Linked DNA regions of Mus musculus: region 2 is reported to be linked to region 1. The links are microRNA targets in miRTarBase. Many come from high-throughput screens and were not tested one by one. Region 1 holds a microRNA gene; the other region holds the end of a gene's coding sequence.

Region 1 (4,149 bases):
GGTGAGCCAGGCTGAGGCTCCCCTACCCACACCTTAGGCTCCTCAGCCTGGTTCCCAGGACCCAGCAGACGCTGCCCTGGCAGCCACCCAGCTCCTCACCCAGACAGGTGTGCTTACACCTTGCACAACCTGGTGACACCACCTCAGCACAGCAGGGGCCCAGAAGCCTTTGCCCCACACCTCAGTGAATCCTCCATGAGTAGGTGGAGAGGTACCACGGGGCATGAGCATCCATCTACAAGACCTGACTTCACCTGTGGGCTGAGACTTCCAGGGTCCAGGGCAGGGAGGTGAGACTGTCAGACATAGGAAAGTGTGGAAGGCGAGCTCAGCCTGAGGCCTTCACTCTCCTCCTGAGGGGCTGGCAGAGCCATTGCTTGGGATCCACCACACTTGGATTGTGCAAGCTGAGATGGCTCCCTTCCCTGTTCTGCTGAAACACCCCCAGTCCCGCCTTCCAGTTGTGGAAGGCTGACTGAGGCTTTTCCCCAGGTCCCCATACAGGTTCTGCAGATATGAGCAACAAGGGTCAGGGGGAGGCAGCAATCGGGCAGGTAAGAGGGACTCCTACAAGGGTTGGCAGCCAGGCCGGTTCTCAGGATCCTCAAGGATGATGGGATGCAACCTCACACCAGACAGATGCCAGATGGCCTCAAAGGCACCGTCCAGAAGGCTTGGGGGGGGGGGACGCAGGTGCTGCATTAATAAGGTCCTCTGAGGGTCCCAGATAAGTTGCTTTAGGAAGCACGATACTTGGGACACTCGCATGTCCCTTTCAGGCTCCTACAAAGGGCACTGGGCCATCCTTCCATCTGCAGGAACCCTGGAATCCCCTGTTAGCACATGCAGAGGTGGTTCAGGCTGCCCTCAGACCAGACATAAGATATTGGATAAGCTGGGGAACCCTATGGCCCTCCTCACAGTGGAGGAGGGCCGGGCCCTGCCCCCAGCAGGCAAGGCTCACTGCTGTTTTGCACACTGGTAATTTCCCTCTAGGGAGGCTTCAGCTCCTCTGAACGCCAGGGCTATCTCTAGGGAACATCTCCCTTTTGTCACGCCCTCTGGTTCCCAGCGCCCTCTATTCTATAATCAGACTCCCCAGTTGAGCCCTCCAGGCCACCCCCACCCATCTCCTCATACACAAGTAATCTCTTGCAAGGTTACCCTTCTGGTTGTCATATTTCAGGTTGCAAGAGAGCCAGAGTTTTCACCTGCCTCTCAAAAGTCCCCTCTGAGGCATAGTGCCCACATTTGCTATGGGAAAGGAGCCCACTCAGGCTAGACTGGGTACAAAGGGGTTTGCTTGTTTGTTTGTTTCTTGTCTTGCCGTTGAGGGTTTCTCACGGAGATAGGAGACAACTTCCAGACTAAGTGTGTGCCTGGTGAGTAAGACTCCAGCAATGCCTCTTTGTGGACATTCCCTAGTTCTCCATGCCAGCCCCTCTGACTCCACATTCAATCAGACTTGCACACTGCCAAGGGCTGTGGAACCTCTGAGAAGGCATGGCTTCTCTCTGAGGCCGAAGACCCAACTGCAAAACAAACAAACAAACAAAACCAAACACATTAACACACACACACACACACACACACACACACACACACACACACACACACACACACACACAAAACCCTACACTGTTCACCCTACAAGGCGAATGCAAAAGTTAAACTTGACAGCGCCATCAGTGAAAGGTCTAGAGGCTTCCTCCTGCTGCCTTGGCCCAGTCTGTGGCACCCCGGAAAAGAAGACACTGGTGTTCCTTGGGCCAGCTGGCCAGAACTTGAATGCATTATGACAGCCTTCTGGTCCTCAGGGGCTCAAGTTTGATTCCAATCGCTCTCCTTTTCCTTTAACACTGTCCTTACTGCACTGGAAGGGAACCCTTAAGGGCTCGGTGACTAAGAGGGCAGGGCGCCTGCAGGTGCGGAGCAGACAGGGCCCTTTGGACTGCGGGCAAGGTCCCTGGTACATGGCACAAGGACCCAGGACCCAGGACTGGGCTCGCCCCGCCCCCTCCGAGCGCCGAGAGGCCCAGGTCTGGGAAGCAGAAACTCGCCGCAGCCCCCCCACCCAGTTTCACTTTCTCTTTGTTCCCTCCTTCCCCTCCCACGGAGTTCTCTTTGAAGAGAGTCCGCGGTGCGGGCGTGTCCGTTCCCGCCCCCGCGCCGCCCGTGGGGCTCGGTGCGTGCCCCGCCGGCGTGGCCCCTTGGCGAGCATTGCAAAGCCGGCTCTCGGGCTTCCAGCGGGCGCGGCCCCTGCGTCGACCCCGGCCAGGTGCGCCAAGCTGGGCGCCGGGTGCGGCCGGTGACTCAGGGCCACCCCCGCGCGAGCACGCGGAGCAGCTCCCGGGGCCTCGGGCCGACCCGCCGCGCGACCCGCGGGCCTGGAAAAACCGGTCAGGCCAGCGCGGCTGGCGCGTTCCGGCGCCGAGCGGGGCGACCTAGACGCATAAAAGGCGCAGGCACGCCGGCTGCCGCCGCACAGAGTGCAGCCCGGCCACGCGGGCCGGGTCGCAGGAGGGCGCTGAGCTGTGGCTCCGGAGCTCCGGGCTGTGCAGAACTTCTGTGTGCAGGCGCGCCTGGTCCAGTGGTTCTTGACAGTTCAACAGTTCTGTAGCACAATTGTGAAATGTTTAGGACCACTAGACCCGGCGCGCACGGCGGCGACGACAGCAGCGACGGGGCGGCCCCGACGGCCAAGGTCGGCTTGAGAGGGGCGCGGGGGTGGGGTGGGGGCACCCGGATCGCCGAGACTCGTGCAGTCCCGCAGCCTGGCAGGAGTGCAGAGCGACGACCCGGGACGCACGCTGGCCCTGGACCTGCACAGCAGCCTGCACTTTCGCCCACACTGCTGACACGTGCGCCTCACCTTCATTCTCTCCTGATCCACCCTTGTCCAAAGCCACCGAACCTCTGGCAGGAGCCGGCCGCCTGACCTCTGGGTCAAGGGGCATTCTTTGCTCCAGCGTGAGAGTGGCCACTGGGGCTGAGGCTGCCGAGCCCTTGGTAGTCATCTTGTTGAGCTGAGAATTCTTCTGCGGGAGCTCTCCCTTTTCCAGGCTGGGGTAGTGATCCTGTGAGTGTGTGCTGTATGAATGGACAGCTTCTAGGGCCAGACACGGGCTGGAAGAGTGGTAGTGGGGACAGGCCCAGTCCTGATGCAGAGTTGAGCCAGGGTGATCTTTTGGGGCCTCAGGCTCAGCTGTTGGATGAGTGCACCCATGGGAGAGGTCTGAGTGAAACTGTAAGTGGCTCTGAGCAAAGTCTGCTTGACTTGGCATTTCCACCTCCAGGTGGTCAGGCCCTGTCAGATGGGGTTGTGTGGAAAGAAATGGATGCCTGGACCCTTAAACCGACAACATAGCAACATCGGGAAAGAGGGCCTCCTCCTATCCCAGCTTCCTTGGCCCAAATATGGGAGCCACTGGACAGCCTAGACTGAATTTGAGGCGGGTCAGAGCATTTCCCACTGGATGAGTCCCTGTGTCCTGATGGCACGTTGGAGAGGTACCCATCCTTTGCATGTGTGCATGCCAGGCAAGTACAGGAGACGGCCAGAGGTGGGAGGGAATGGTGTCCCATGGGGCGCCCCCACTCCGCACCCAGTTAGCATCTACTTTGGGTCAGCATCTTGCCTGTTAGCCAGAAAGTGCCACTGTGGACACCTCGGGCTGTTAGAGAGCAGGTACCCCTAGGAACCAGAGGGCATCCCAGGTGCTGTGCTGACTGCCCTCGGTGAGTGCCCTCGGTGAGTGCCCTCGGTGAGTGCCCCTGGTGAGTGCTCTTGGCCATTCAGTCGGGGTTTGACACGCTGGATGTCCTTGGTCTGTAGTTGTGAATCATGTAACTTGGTTTAAATGTGCATATTGTAGGTTGATTAAAAATAATAATAATAAACGTATTCCAAAGCATCCCTGTGTCCTTGAGGTTTCTCATTGAGGCCTGTTTGTGAGGCCTCTTCTCAGGCATCCTAATCACCAGAGAAGGAGAAAGTGAAGCCATTGGTTGGGGAGGTAACTACTCCAGCCCCGGGCTCCGCTTCCACTTTCTGCCAGGTTTTTCCTGGCTGTGGAGGAGGCCTCCTTGTTGGCTACTTCTGATCATCCTGAGTGAAGCTGCTGACCCAGACACCCTCTCTGGCGTTTG
Region 2 (4,000 bases), not on the chromosome of region 1:
GGTCAAAAGTCTTATTGCAGGACAAATGGCTCCATCATTAATTAATCAGCAATTCTATTCAGAAACAGGAAGGCAATAATGAAAGCTCTGACTTCACACTCAGAGTAATATTTTCTCTGGACCGTGGACAGATGTTTATTTCTTAGTATTTAAACTTAAAAAGTCTTACAACCTAAATAGTAACCTAAATTAATGTTGATTCATGCATTATCTCTTAGACAAATTAATAAAAAAAAAAGCCCATTCAATGGTATTAGCCTTGTTATTTGGGCAAAGTATCAGAGCCTTCTTAAATGTCTAATTATTCTGGTTGGTTAATCAGTTGACTATTATTCATGCTAATGTATAAACTCCATTTTAAAGTATCTTTTTGAGGAGATATGGTATCTATAACTGAGTTAAATCCTGTCACACCATCTCTCATTTTTGTGCTCAGGTTGGTGAGACCAGATGCAAAAAAGTTTGTACTTCCAAGTCTGATTTGAGATCCAATGACTTCAGCATTGTTGGAAGCTTACCAAGAGATTTTGAATTATCCAATTATGACTGCTATGGGAAACCCATCGAAGTCAACAATGGACTTGGGAAACCACAGGCAAAGAACAAGAAGCCTCCGCCTGCCAAGCCTGTCATCCCAACAGCAGCCAAGCGCATCGACCTTTATGCAAGAGCATTATTTCCTTTCTGCTTCTTGTTCTTCAATGTTATATATTGGTCTATATATTTATGATAAACCATTTCCCTTTGTATGAAATACAGCACCATTTCATTGTGACCAATGCAATTCATAATTGCTGATCTGTGGAAACTTTGCATTTTCCTAGCAATATATTGCATTTTGGATGCCACTTGATTATAATAAAATACAGCACCTTACTTTTGAATGGCAGCATGACCCTGTAAAGTCTGTGCACCGACTGTGAGATAGATAGATAGATGTATGTATATTGAGCATAGTGCTTTAAGAATCAATGACAAATATGCATACTATGTAATCTACATAATGTGCTCTTCAGCTACTGTAACTCTGTAACTACAAATACTTCCAGTAATCCAGATGAAAACATAATGTGCACGCTGACCCCTGTCATGTTCACTGGTCCATGTATGCAGTATCTTACATCCCCTTCCTTGTAAGAAAGAAAGCCATCTTATTAAATAATTTTCGATAGTATTATTGCAGATTAAGCAAGATTATATGGCATAGTGTTTAAAGTTTTTAAGAGAGGTAGATCAGTAATAGTTATGCAGGCTCCTTAAGAAATAAAATCATAATTATACATTTATAAAGCAAGCTTATTTTTAAGTGTGCTTGTGTCGTCAAAATGCCAGATAATAGAACAGTAAGCATTTCTGAAGAAAAGAGAAATCTGGGCTAGTATAAATGCATAGCAAGTTCTGGCTTCTGGCAAAATACAAATAGTGATAGATGTATTAATTAAATATTTTGGATAAAATAAATCCTTTAATCCACCTTAAATCAAAGTCTATTTTCATGCCTTTCATTGGTTGGTATGGAGAGCATTAAGCATAAGCCTTAAAAAGAGTTGCACACATTTCAAACCTAAATAGTGTGGTGACATGTGAGTCCAGATTACTGTTAGACTCCAGAAATTGTTAGCATGAACTTGAAATGGAAAAATCATAATCACTGAAGGACTTAGGTTGTTTATTTTATTAAAATGTTTCTATATTTCAAGTAATATTCAAACTGTTTTTGGAATTTTTTTTATTTATTTGAATGTATTTGAATATGTTACAAAACAATGATTTAGTTAATAATTTTTTTTATTTAACCTTTAGACTTCACCCTTTTCTTCTCGCTGAAAGTCTAGATATTGGGGCTGGCTGACTTCATCTTATTTCTATCTGAAAAGAACCCCTAAGCCTCTTCTTATAAAGCCCCATTTTCTAACAGTGTCATAGTGTAACTGTTTATTTCTGTCTTAGCTAAAATTGGAGCTATTAGTAATTACTGTAATGTAAACAGACCATAAAGCCATTTTGCGTTATTTGGAGTGCTTTTGTTCTTGTTGATAGTTTGTACAGCCAACTCATAACATAATGCATTAAAAGTATTATTTGTGCAATTGCCATTTGCTCTTTACTGCTATGTGATTTATTGAAGATTTTCAACTCAGGAGCATTCCGGGGGTTATGGCCTTCTTTAAATGGTGTATAGAGTAATCCTCTGTAGTCTTTCAATACCATCCAATTACAAAAGCATGACAGTCTAGATCATTTTAAAATGCCACAAGTAAAATGGCGAATAGTTTTCTCTCCCAAGACCTAGGCAAGTATTAGTTTAATGGGCCAGCAGTGGGAAAAATACCTTAAACATGTATCATTTAAAGAATCTCTTTGTAGTGATATTTTCTTACATTTGTTTTTCTAACTTGCTTTCGTGTTAGGGCCTTTCATCTAGGGTATTAGGTGTCTGATAGTGAAAGCAGTGTCATGATATAGAAATGTATTGTAAAAACAGCGGGGAAGGAATTTTGTCATGTAATACAATATAATAGCTTCTTAATATCAGACTATATCCTTGGTCTAGAGTCTCATCGCTACTTCTTATTTTGAGCTAAATATGCAGATGTTTTATGAACCAGACACATCTGTTTAGAATAGCACATACATTGTTATCCCTGCCTTTTTTCTCTTTCTATGATTCCCAGGGTTCAATGTGCCCAGATCCCAACTCAGACCCGTTTTTAGGTATCTCTAAGCTAAGTCTGACTTTTGACTATAAAAAGTAATTTAGCATAAGCATATAGAATAAATGGCACTTAACCTAACATTATTTGGATTCCCCACATTATATGTACTGGGATTCTTTTTAGATGACAACATACTTATATTCACGTATAAGTATGAACTCTGCCTCCTCTTGGGAGGATTTTTTTCCCATGTGGAAATGAAGTTGTCCTTTTTCAAATACAAAACTATATTACAATGCTATTTGTGTATGGATGTGGCTGTTTATGTGAATGCCCAGGGTGAAGCTGCTGACCTGAAAAACTGAGACATTTAAAACTCTGGTGTTTCCTCATACATTTCTGCTAAAAGATACGAATGCATGCTTTTACCAGAACAAGCCCCCTCCCTGTTCCAGTTACTACCCAACATCATGTCGACCTGTTTCTTTTTCATTTCTTTCACTTGGCATCATTTCAGAATGTTCCAACAAACTTGAAAAAGTACAAAGAATTCCTGTGCACCCTTGATCTACAGTCCGCAGACACTCCTCTTTTCTCAGACGTGCTTTCTTTCTCTTCCATCACTCTGTGTGCACAAGAAGCTGCTCTTCAAGATTGTAAATGGAAGCCATGATGTCTTTTTACCTATACAACTCCAGCGTGTCTTTCCAAATTACAAGGACCTTTCATTTCATGACCACAGCGATAGAATGGGTCCTCCTCGGGAAATTGGCACTGAGCGAATTATTAATTCTTTTCTATTTTCTGTAACTCTCCTTCATAGTACAAGCCAGGATCATGAGTTTTGTTTCATTGTTATGACATCAATTTCTTTAACATGACTGGGGCTATGTTGAGTTAGAGATGGTTAGTGGTTAAGAATGCTTGCAGAAGGACCATGCCTCAGTTCTTAGCATCCATGTGCAGCAGCTCACAGCTGCTTATAACCTCCATTCCAAAGAACCTGGCCCCTTTCTGGCCTCTGCAGGCCCCCCACATGTGGAACTTGGGTAAACCTATACATATATAAAGTATTTTTAAAATGTGATTATACCACTATCCATAAAGGTATACTTAATGTCTCATGCTGGGCCTCAGTGAACCAAACAAAACATTCCCTTATCATAAAGTTATTTATACCCTAATATCCCACTAAATTGACTTCAACCAATTTCTCTCATGTTTAGACTTAAGTAAAGGGCTAAATTCTGGCATCCCCTTTTATAGAAATGGTTAGTGTAATGCTTTGTTTCTTCTTAGTAGACCAGGCTTGTGTGTCATGTCTGTAAACACTCCTTTTAACT

What was found. Region 1 holds the annotated microRNA mmu-miR-203-5p (AGUGGUUCUUGACAGUUCAACA, at 2,590-2,611, shown strand). A microRNA usually pairs through its seed, bases 2 to 8, with sites in the 3' UTR of a target mRNA and lowers its output. Matches are read on the target gene's strand: a 7mer-m8 pairs with bases 2 to 8, a 7mer-A1 pairs with bases 2 to 7 and ends in A, and an 8mer does both.
Region 2: miRTarBase lists Glrb as a target of mmu-miR-203-5p. The part of its 3' UTR that is shown has no 7-base or 8-base seed match.

What each region holds. Positions count from the first base shown.
Region 1 is chr12:112,128,300-112,132,448 of GRCm38, forward strand. It overlaps Mir203 (microRNA 203), which reads left to right and starts at 2,581; the gene lies at 2,581-2,656. It overlaps Gm51289 (predicted gene, 51289), which reads right to left and starts at 2,647; the gene lies at 2,588-2,647.
Region 2 is chr3:80,841,694-80,845,693 of GRCm38, reverse strand. It overlaps Glrb (glycine receptor, beta subunit), which reads left to right. Exons shown (of 10, transcript NM_010298.6): 10 at 437-2,095. The coding sequence ends at 730. Among named protein-coding and RNA genes, the nearest start is that of Gria2, 41 kb to the right of the region's middle.